Sus scrofa: one gene and its partners. The protein of the gene in region 3 interacts with the protein of the main gene of each other region in a biochemical or structural test. Links are inferred from orthologs where the notes say so. Each region holds a gene or a part of one and is shown on either strand. Other genes may lie near its edges.

What was found.
Region 1: the proteins of ERBB3 (region 3) and tyrosine-protein kinase ZAP-70 form a complex in vitro, tested with the Homo sapiens proteins (2 studies listed by BioGRID and IntAct, with this or other methods). The link is inferred for Sus scrofa from reciprocal best matches to the Homo sapiens genes ERBB3 and ZAP70.
Region 2: the proteins of ERBB3 (region 3) and ABL2 form a complex in vitro, tested with the Homo sapiens proteins (2 studies listed by BioGRID and IntAct, with this or other methods). The link is inferred for Sus scrofa from reciprocal best matches to the Homo sapiens genes ERBB3 and ABL2.

The regions. Positions count from the first base shown.
Region 1 is NC_010445.4:56,514,830-56,517,839, reverse strand, and holds the end of tyrosine-protein kinase ZAP-70, read left to right. Parts: coding exon 1-158; intron 159-247; coding exon 248-388; intron 389-486; coding exon 487-599; intron 600-1,936; coding exon 1,937-2,054; 3' UTR 2,055-2,391; downstream 2,392-3,010. UniProt on the Homo sapiens protein: Tyrosine kinase that plays an essential role in regulation of the adaptive immune response. Regulates motility, adhesion and cytokine expression of mature T-cells, as well as thymocyte development.
Region 2 is NC_010451.4:120,904,634-120,908,285, reverse strand, and holds part of ABL2 (Abelson tyrosine-protein kinase 2), read left to right. Parts: intron 1-630; coding exon 631-715; intron 716-1,906; coding exon 1,907-2,084; intron 2,085-2,689; coding exon 2,690-2,874; intron 2,875-3,652. UniProt on the Homo sapiens protein: Non-receptor tyrosine-protein kinase that plays an ABL1-overlapping role in key processes linked to cell growth and survival such as cytoskeleton remodeling in response to extracellular stimuli, cell motility and adhesion and receptor endocytosis.
Region 3 is NC_010447.5:21,487,682-21,491,333, forward strand, and holds part of ERBB3 (receptor tyrosine-protein kinase erbB-3), read left to right. Parts: intron 1-26; coding exon 27-80; intron 81-701; coding exon 702-843; intron 844-2,044; coding exon 2,045-2,164; intron 2,165-2,277; coding exon 2,278-2,376; intron 2,377-2,546; coding exon 2,547-2,732; intron 2,733-2,899; coding exon 2,900-3,055; intron 3,056-3,505; coding exon 3,506-3,581; intron 3,582-3,652. UniProt on the Homo sapiens protein: Tyrosine-protein kinase that plays an essential role as cell surface receptor for neuregulins.

The DNA of each region.
Region 1 (3,010 bases), on a different chromosome or scaffold from region 3:
TGCACCAGGTGTCCATGGGGATGAAGTACCTGGAGGAGAAGAACTTTGTGCACCGTGACCTGGCGGCCCGCAACGTCCTGCTGGTCAACCGGCACTATGCCAAGATCAGCGACTTTGGTCTCTCCAAGGCACTGGGTGCCGATGACAGCTACTACACTGTGAGCCCCGGACCCAGGAGTGCCCAGGAAGGTGGGGGGTGGGTGGTGGACCCCTGAGCCTTGTCCCAGCAGCATCTCCCATCCCTCAGGCCCGCTCAGCAGGGAAGTGGCCGCTCAAGTGGTACGCGCCTGAGTGCATCAACTTCCGCAAGTTCTCCAGCCGCAGTGATGTCTGGAGCTATGGGGTCACCATGTGGGAGGCCTTCTCTTATGGCCAGAAGCCCTACAAGGCAGGCATGGGCAGAGGCGGGCGATAGCTGGGTGGAAAGGAGGGGCGGGGGTGGGGGACCCTGGTTACTCACTCATGCCCTTGCTCTGGCTTGAGCAGAAGATGAAGGGCCCCGAGGTCATGGCCTTCATTGAGCAGGGCAAGCGGATGGAGTGCCCACCAGAGTGTCCACCTGAAATGTACACACTCATGAGCGACTGCTGGACCTACAAGTGAGTCCCAGAGGTGGGAGGGGACCTGGGCCCGGGGCAGGAGGTCATGATGCCCAGTAGTCATCCCACCAGTGTCTCATCCCATCCAGTGAATCACCAAGTTCCTGGCCTTTCCAACACTCAGGACCTTTTGTCCCCCTGTGTCTATGCTCAGCTTTCAATGCACTGATCTGCCATGCTCCAGTGGCCCAGCACCCAACACCCACCTGTGGACACCCAGTGATCCAGCATCTGAAACCTCTAACATTCAACATAGTGATCCTATAGTACTCAAAAAAGTTAGTGCTCTTACCCAAAATGTGATACTGAAACTCAGGGCCATTATATAATTCCTGTTTCCTATCAGCCGACATTCAACACCTCACTACCCAGACAGGCCGACACAGAAGCACCCAAATACTCAATGCCCCTCACTTCTGTCTGTTCAAAGCTCAGTGGTTGCACACCCAAACTCCTAACACCATCAGTATCTCCACTTCCGTCAGACAACAGGGAACATGCACCGAAGCTCTTACCCTATACTGATCAGGCAATGTGGGCACTCCAATATTTGATACCTTTGCTGCCCCAACATCTATTAGGGGCCAACACCCATCATAGGGACACCTGAACACCCAAGCAATAGAAACCCTATTTATGATAAATGAATAAGTGATCAGCCAATCCCTCCTCTACCATGTATTAATCCAGCCTCTATCAGGAAATGCTCAATAAACATCCCCAGAAATTCCTGCTGTGGTGCCATGGGTTAAGGAGCAGGTGCTGCCACAGCTGTGGCTCAGATTGAGTCCCTGACCTGGGGACTTCCATATGCATCAGGTGTGGGTAGAAAAAGAAAAAATAAAAACCCCAACACCCTAATGCCTGAAGAGGCTAGAACACTCTGACACAACGCAAAGATAAGCTACACACAGTACCATTAATACCCCAACTTTCCACTGGCTGGAACCATCAATACTCCAGCGTTCTGCTCTGTTACCGGCAGCGTACCTGCATCTGTATGAGGTGGCACCTAGCACCCAAATACCCTGGCCAAATATACATGTTCAGTACTTTAGCATCAATATCCCAGCCCCCCGTGGTCAATGGCTGTCACCTCAAAATTCAATGAGCTCCCTTCCCAGTCATCACTTAATATGTGCTTCCCTCCTCCAATCCTAAATGTTATCAGCTCTTTTATAAGGTGGTACAGCAACCTTACTCTCTCACCCAAGAGAGCCCTCCGTTACCCCCGCCCCCAGCCCCACTGCTTTCTGAGCTCCATGTACGTCCGCCCACTAACTGACATTGGGTTCTGGGGTTGTGGTCAGTGGCCTGGATCTTCCCACCCCTCACAGGTGGGAGGAGCGTCCAGACTTCCAAATCGTGGAACAGCGCATGCGCACCTACTACTACAGCTTGGCGACTAAGGCCGAGGACGCTGCAGCTGAGGGGAAGGAGGCCGCCTGTGCCTGAGCTCCAGCCTGAGGCCTGTATCCCCCAGTTTCTCCTCCTGTGCCCACAGCTCCTTCCTGGGACCTCAGTCCGGCCGGGCTCAGCTCAGTTTCTCTCCCCCCACCAGCTGGACTGTGGTAAGGGGGACAGGCCTGAGGCCCACACTGGTCTAGGAGTCCCCACCCGGTCACTTGTCCTCTCTGGCTGGGGGAAGGAGGACAGCAGGGAGGGTGGGCCTGGGCTGAAGGGATGTTGCTCACAACAAGGACCCTTTTTCCTATGGGCCCTGAAGGGCAGACTTTGGGGGTCCTCAGGGGGCAAGACCTCAGTCATTGGAATAAACTCAACTTCTCTCTTGTTTGGGATCCCTTATCTTTTCTGGGGTGAGGTTGGGACCAGAAAAGGGGCTGGGGAAGGGGTCCATGAGAAGTGCCTGAAAGCAACTTTCCCTGTGTGAGCCGGAGGGCTGGTTTTCCATCTCCGCCCTGGGCGCATCTTCATGCAGGTGGGGTGGGGCCGAAGAGCTGCATGCACTGCTGGCCTTGGCTACCCTACCCTCCTGGTCGGCTTGAAGCAGGTGCAGACTGTTCTGCGGCATGTCAACATCACCTGGAGAGGTTTTTAACACGTGCCGGCCTTCCCCACCACCGGCCCTCCCCCCCGCCGCCCCCGCCCCTCCCCCCGCCGCCCCCCGCCCCTCCCCCCACGCCGCCCCCCCCCCAGCCGGGTCCCAGCGCCCACGTCTGCCCCGCCCCCACAGGTGCCACCCCAGTCAGCCCCGCCCCCACTCAGGACTCTCCCCCAGCCCCCCACGCCAGCCCCGCCCCCACGCCAGTCCACCTCCAGCAGCCGGCCCCGCCCTCACGCAGGCCCCTTCCCCAGCCAGCCCTGCCCTTATGACAGCCCTTCCCAGCCCGGTACGCCCACATCGGGCCCAGTCCCCCACGCCGGCCCCTCCCCCCACGCCCCAACGCAGG
Region 2 (3,652 bases), on a different chromosome or scaffold from region 3:
CCGCGTCCTTATAGGTACCTAGTCAGGTTCATTAACCGCTGAGCCACCACGGGAACTCCGACCACTTCTTGTTCTTAATGTTCACAGATATCTTTTTCCTGATGCTACCCTTTCTCTCCTTTAAGCATCCTGGTATCAAATTATACATTTTGTCACTCACTCCATTCTCTCAAGATTCTTTCATATGCCTCAATAGCTTTGTCATGTCACTTGTAAGGACTGCTCTTCACCTATCAATAGTAGTCTGTTTTTGTTTTTTTAGCAAGTATTTATTGAGTGCTTTTTCTGAGTGTGTGAAACAATATTCATAGTCTTGCAAACATGCCTTGCTCCTTAAGGAATTTGTTAGGAAGACAGCTGACTGTTCTGTACCTTTCAGTTGTGATAGGACATGATTGATGAATTTTACTCCACCCCACAAAATTTTGTATAGTTTAAAATAATGAATAAATTTAAGTAGACATTTTTCTTGGAGGATATTATGTTGTGATAAAACTTCCTGAAGTAAATGCTGAAATAGTCAAAAGATATTCCCTTTTCTGAAATTTTAGGATTGTGAGTTGACTCAAATGATTAAGATGGGGGCTTGTCCCTGCCCTCTTTTTCTTTCTTATCTTTCCACCTTTCTAGGAGGATACTATGGAGGTGGAGGAATTCCTAAAAGAAGCTGCAGTGATGAAAGAAATCAAGCATCCTAATCTGGTACAACTATTAGGTAAGGGAGCTTTCCTGAACCATAACTTTCCTCAAAGATGCTTGTCCCCCAACCCCCTATTAACTCCAAATCCTTCTTTTGAATCACTGTGGGTGGAAGCTCCCAGTACAAATCTACTTCTTTAAATGACTTTAATCAGCAGTCTCTGTATTTAAAAATTACCCAAGAAGCAGTAACCTGGATTGATTGCAGTATATATGAAACTGCACAGCCTGTGGTAATTGCCCTGGATCCAAAGTTCAAAATCATTCCAAGTGATACTAAACCAAAAACGGTCACAAAATAGTTTTACAAAATAAAGAGATACTAAGCAAAGGACTGCTGAAAATAAACAGATTAAAAATTGTGACCATCCATCAGTTTGCCTTTACAAGCAGAAAGTGCCATCAATAGACTGCTATCTTACGTGTTTGGGTCACAGAAAAACCGTTGACTAAAACCATTGCTTTTTAAAAAATAGGGTCAGTTTCTTTGGATGTTCAAATTGAGCCAAACCATCCCAAAGGAAATAGATTCTTTTGGTTCTTGATAAGTTATCTGCCATGTGTTAGTGGAATCCTTGATTGTGGAAATAGTCAGAATCTTTTTACAAAGTATTATTACAGACCGGGCTCACATACAGGCTTTACCACATGCACAGTTGCTGTTACTTTTAGGTAAACATGGGCAGCATGCAGTTGAGGATGGGGATTATGTAGGCATGTACAGAACTCTAGATGTGTTGGTAGTCCTGACCCCGTGTGGAATTAGAACAAGCAACTCTGCTTTTGCCAAATAGGCACTTACTCAAAATGGATATGAATTTCCAGAGAATGATAGAATGAGAACAGAGTCCCTTATCAACTAGCTTATATCATTTTTAGGGAATATGATGGCAAGACGGGAAAAGATTACTGCTGAACTAGACTTTAAAAATTGTCAATTATTCTTGAAGTTCCTGCTGTGGCACAGTGGGTTAGGAATCTGATTGCAGCAGCTCAGGTCACCGAGGAGGTGAGAGTCTGCTCCTGGCATTGCGCAGTGGGTTAAAGGATCTAGAGTTGCTGCAGCTGTGGTGCAGATTCAGTCCCTGGTCCAGGAACTTCTATATGCCATGGATGTAGCCATTAAAAAATTGTCAGTTTTTCTTGCCAAAGTGGTTTGCAGTGTGTGAATATATACTAATAAAACAAGCTGTATTTGAACTATCAGGTGTATGTACTTTGGAGCCACCATTTTACATTGTGACTGAGTACATGCCTTATGGGAACCTGCTTGATTATCTCCGAGAATGCAACCGAGAAGAGGTAACTGCAGTTGTACTGCTTTACATGGCCACTCAGATTTCTTCTGCAATGGAGTATTTAGAAAAGAAGAATTTCATCCATAGGTGTGTAAAACCTGGTTATTGCTTATGATTAACCATGAAGCTCTCTTGATTGACATGCAAATAAAAGAAAGAATGTGAGAATTTTAGCAAAAATTTTCAGATGACTCAGGAATTTTCTCTTTTACAGGCACCATTGTAATGACATTGCCAATTTATAAACCCTCCTGTTCTCTGATTAAAGTATTAATGCGAGGCCTTTGTTATTCTCAGAAGAGAAAGCTCTTTACTTTGCCCAGGACTATATCCAAGATCCTTTTGCCCCATCTAGTGGCTTAATTTTAAAAATAGCTTTCTGTCCTAGTAATGAACTTACAGCTGTGTAGAAGAGCATCTGTTGCTCACTTCTGAAGCCTATCCCAAGTATTTGTGAATAGGAACCCCTTTTCTGAAGCCTGCTTTATTCTGGCATCACATAACTCCCTCTTGATGGGGATTCTACAAGTGATGTATAATTAGTGGCTTTCTACCATCTTAGTAATTTTCATAAAATACTACCATATCTGTCAGCACTTATCAAACTGTAAGGGAACTGATAATAGAGCATTCATGATCTTTTTCTACAACCACCTGTATGGAATCACATTTTAGAGTTCTCTTTCCCACAGAGATCTTGCAGCTCGTAACTGCCTCGTGGGAGAAAACCATGTGGTAAAAGTGGCTGACTTTGGCTTAAGTAGATTGATGACTGGAGACACCTATACTGCTCATGCTGGAGCCAAATTTCCTATTAAATGGACAGCACCAGAGAGTCTTGCCTACAATACCTTCTCAATTAAATCTGATGTCTGGGGTAAGAGTGAAAGGAACATTTTCCTGTGTGTTATTTTCTTTATAAATAAATACTAAATTCTTTAGAGCTTATCTTTTATATAATCATGTCTTCTGTCTTTACATTCATCCTTCTTTTAGTCATTCAGCAAGCACTTATTAAATACTTAGTATCTGCTAGGCACTTACCATAGAAAGAAATTATAAAGAAGAAAGTTAAAGAAAAAAGTCTCTGCCTGCGGAGCACTCACAATCTAGGTATTATACTGCACTGGAGTAACAATGATCCTCTCTCTATGAAGCTCCCTGTTGTCCACATTAGGCTTTATTGCTTGTTTCTAGAGCACTGTGACACAGAGTAGCAAACTCTTTTCAAGGAAGGCATAATGAAGTTTCATCTAGAATTTGTCTGTGTAACTGATCTTGTTTTTGTTGCCCTGAAAAGCAATGTGATTTAGCAGAGGCTCAGGAAATAGAACAAGTCAGGAAATTTGGATTGTGGACCAATAGAAATACTTGTAGAATTCTTGGTTTTGTTTTTTGTTTTTTCTTGGTCTTGTTTATCAGAAATATCAATTTCAGGAATAACTTGTGACAAAATCAAGGAAATTCTTTTTACAAGTGTGATTTTTATCTGATTTTAAGTTGAGTCCATTTTTATATTACTCCTCTAGTATTAGCTGACTTAAAAATTGTGAAACTTTTATGAAATAGATCATAAATTGCTCTAAGAATAGATGATTATGCCCCAGGCTTCTTATATTATCATAGTTTACTTTTCCCTCATTGTAGTAAAGGAA
Region 3 (3,652 bases):
CTTAGGGAGGTGACTTTCTTCTCCAGGTGTAAGGGACCAGAGCTACAAGACTGTTTAGGCCAAGCACTGCCACTGATGAGGTATGATGGGTTTGGAGATTAGGGAGCTGGGAATATTTGAGGGAGGGCGGTTACCTCCTGGGGAGAGTTGAGTCTCTGTTCATTCTGGCCTTCTATATACAGCTACTGTCACTGGACTCAGGGACATAAGAATCCAGGCTTCTGGCCTTCCCTTCCTAAAATTAACCTGCAGTAGTCCAGGGGGTGGGGTGGGGTGGGGGTGGAGATTTAGGTTAACCCCTTCAGTGCTCAAGGATGTAAGTGTTAACTTTGGAGTTCACGTCATGGCTCAGTGGTAACAAATCTGACTAGTATCCATGAGGATTTGGGTTCGATCCCTGGCCTCGTTCAGTGGGTTAAGGATCTGTCCTTGCCGTGAACTGTGGTGTAGGTCACAGACGCGGCTCAGATCTGATGTTGCTGTGGCTATGGCATAGGCTGGCAGCTGTAGCTCTGATTTAACCCCTAGCCTGGGAACTCCCATATGCCGCATGTGCAGCCCTTAAAAAAAAAAAGAAAAAACACCAAAAAACAAGTGTTAACTTTTTGCCTCAGATCTGTGCCATACCTTTAGTACTGGTACAGATGACGTTTGTAAGGGAAGTTTGGACCAGGGTAATGCTGGGCTTCTCTGTCCCACAGCAAAACCCACCTGGCAATGGCTTTAACAATGGTAGTAGGACTGGCAGTGGTTTTCCTGATCCTGGGCAGCACTTTTCTGTATTGGCGTGGGCGCCGAATTCAGAATAAGAGGGCTATGAGGCGCTACTTGGAACGGGGTGAGGTAAGTGCCTAGCTGACTCTTGAAATGTATCCTATGCCATCACCCTTTTAAGAGCCTCTTTCTTCCCTAGAGATTTGATCCCTTCAAGGAGGTAGTATGGTCCACTAGAAAGGATTCTGGGAGTTCCCGTCGTGGCTCAGTGGTTAAGGAATCCGACTAGGAACCATGAGGTTTCGGGTTCCATCCCTGGCGTTGCTCAGTGGGTTAAGGATCTGGTGTTGCCGTGAGCTTTGCTGCAGGTCGCAGACGCAGCTCGGATCCCGCATTGCTGTGGCTCTGGTGTAGGCCAGTGGCTACAGCTCTGATTGGACCCCTAGCCTGGGAACCTTCATATGCCACGGGTGTGGCCCTAGAAAAGGCAAAAAAAAAAAAAAAAAAAAGGAAAAGAAAGGACTCTGGCCAGAGAAATGGGAGACATGAGTTCTAGTCCTGATTTTGCCATTAATTCACCACCTGACTGAAAAAGTTACCTTCCTTCTCTGAGCCTCAATTGATACAGAGGAAACTAGAACATTCATCCTGGAGTTACCGTTATGGCTTAGTGGTAAGGAACCCGACCAGTATCCATGTGGAAGCAGGTTCGATCCCTGGCCTCACTCAGTGGGTTGAGTATCCAGTGTTGCCTTGAGCTGTGGTGTAGGTCACAGATATGGCTCAGATCAGGCGTCACTGTCACTGTGGTGTGGGCGACAGCTGTAGCTCCAATTTGACCCCTAGCCTGGGAACTTCCATGCTCCGCAGGTGCAGTCCTAAAATAAAAGCAAAAAAAAAAAAAAAAAAAATTCATCCTTAAGGATGGCCGTAGGGGTGAAAGTGCTTTGAAAATCGGAATTGTATAAAAGTGCTTAAGGTGACGGTATTACCAACTCTCTCCCCTACAAAGCCCATCAAAGGGAAAGCAAAACCCTCTAGGTTTCTGATCTCATGAACACAAACAACTTCCTCAGCCCTCAGGGTCTGCAATGCTTTCCAAGGCTGGAGACATTCTTCCTCCTGCTCCCACCCCCCTGGGCTTTGCTGCTCTTGGCATCCACCTATGAGGAGGGGCTGGAGAGGGACAGGGGAGCGGGTTTTCCTGAGTCCCTCTTTCCCATCTGCTCTTTTTTTTTTTTAAATCTGCTTTTTTAAAAATTTTTTTAAAAATTTAAAGTTTTATTGAAGTATAGTTGATTTACAAGGCTGTGTCCCATCTGCTCTTCAGAGCATAGAGCCTCTGGATCCCAGTGAGAAGGCTAACAAAGTCTTGGCCAGAGTCTTCAAAGAAACAGAGCTGAGGAAGCTTAAAATGCTGGGCTCAGGGGTCTTCGGAACTGTGCACAAAGTGAGTGGCTCACAGGAAGTCTGGGGAGGTGGGGAAGGGATCTAGGGCAAAGGGGAGAAAGACTGAGGGAGGGGAGGATGACCTCAGGCTGACTCCTGCCCAAAACTTCCCAGGGAGTGTGGATTCCTGAGGGTGAATCCATCAAGATTCCCGTCTGCATTAAAGTCATTGAGGACAAGAGCGGACGGCAGAGTTTTCAAGCTGTGACGGATGTAAGTGAAGGCAGGGTGTTCTGTGTGCCACTACGACAGGGTATTAGAAGCATGGTCTTGTGTTAGCAGATACTGTGTTAGCCATGGTGGCGTCCTTGAATGCTGGGGGAGCCCTGGCCTGGGTATGTGTGAACCTGCTTGTTTCCAGGATAACCTTCTGTGTCTCTTAGCATATGCTGGCCATTGGCAGCCTCGACCACGCCCACATTGTACGGCTGCTGGGACTGTGCCCAGGGTCATCTCTGCAGCTTGTCACGCAGTACTTGCCTCTGGGCTCCCTGCTGGATCATGTGAGACAACACCGGGGGGTACTGGGGCCACAGCTGCTGCTCAACTGGGGAGTACAAATTGCCAAGGTGAGTGAGAGGAGCCTTGAGGAGTTCTGTGATGAAACTGCCTAACTGGGGGCCTGCAGGGAGGGGACCAGGAGGTTGAAGTGCTGAGAGGTGCCGTAGGGTTTGGGGTGATTCTGGATCTCAAGGACCAATTCCCTCAACCCTGAATATACTTCCTCTCCCTATAGGGAATGTACTACCTTGAGGAGCATGGCATGGTGCACAGGAACCTGGCTGCCCGAAATGTGCTACTGAAGTCCCCCAGTCAGGTTCAGGTGGCAGATTTTGGGGTTGCTGACTTGCTGCCCCCTGATGATAAGCAGCTACTGCACAGTGAGGCCAAGGTAAGTGATGCAAAGGCAGAGTTCCCGTTGTGGCTCAGTAGGTTAAGAACCCAATATAGTATCCATGAGGATGTGGGTTTGATCCCTGGCCTTTGCTTAGTGAGTTAAGTGTGTAGTGTTGTGGTGAGTTGTGTTGTAGTTGGCAGACATGGCTCGCATCCTATGTTGCTGTGGCTGTGGTATAGGCTGGCAGCTGCTGCTCTGATTCGACTCCTACCTAGCCTGGGAACTTCCATATGTTCTAGGTGCAGCCCTAACCCCCCCCAAAAAAAAAGTAATAAAAAGTTAAAAGTGTGTGGTTTTAAACATACTCAAGAGTTTAAAAAAAAAAAGTGATGCAAAGGCTGGTAAGGAGGTAGGGGTGTAGGAGTTCCCTGGTGGCCTAGTAGTTAAGGATCTAAGAACATGTGTGGAAATCAGCTGATGACACCTTTATCTTTAATCCCTCAGACTCCAATTAAGTGGATGGCCCTAGAGAGTATCCACTTTGGGAAATACACACACCAGAGTGACGTCTGGAGCTATGGTCAGTCCCCCTGCATGCCCTCCATACCATCACTGGCCCAAATTTCAAAGTTGCCTTCTGAGACCCTTTCT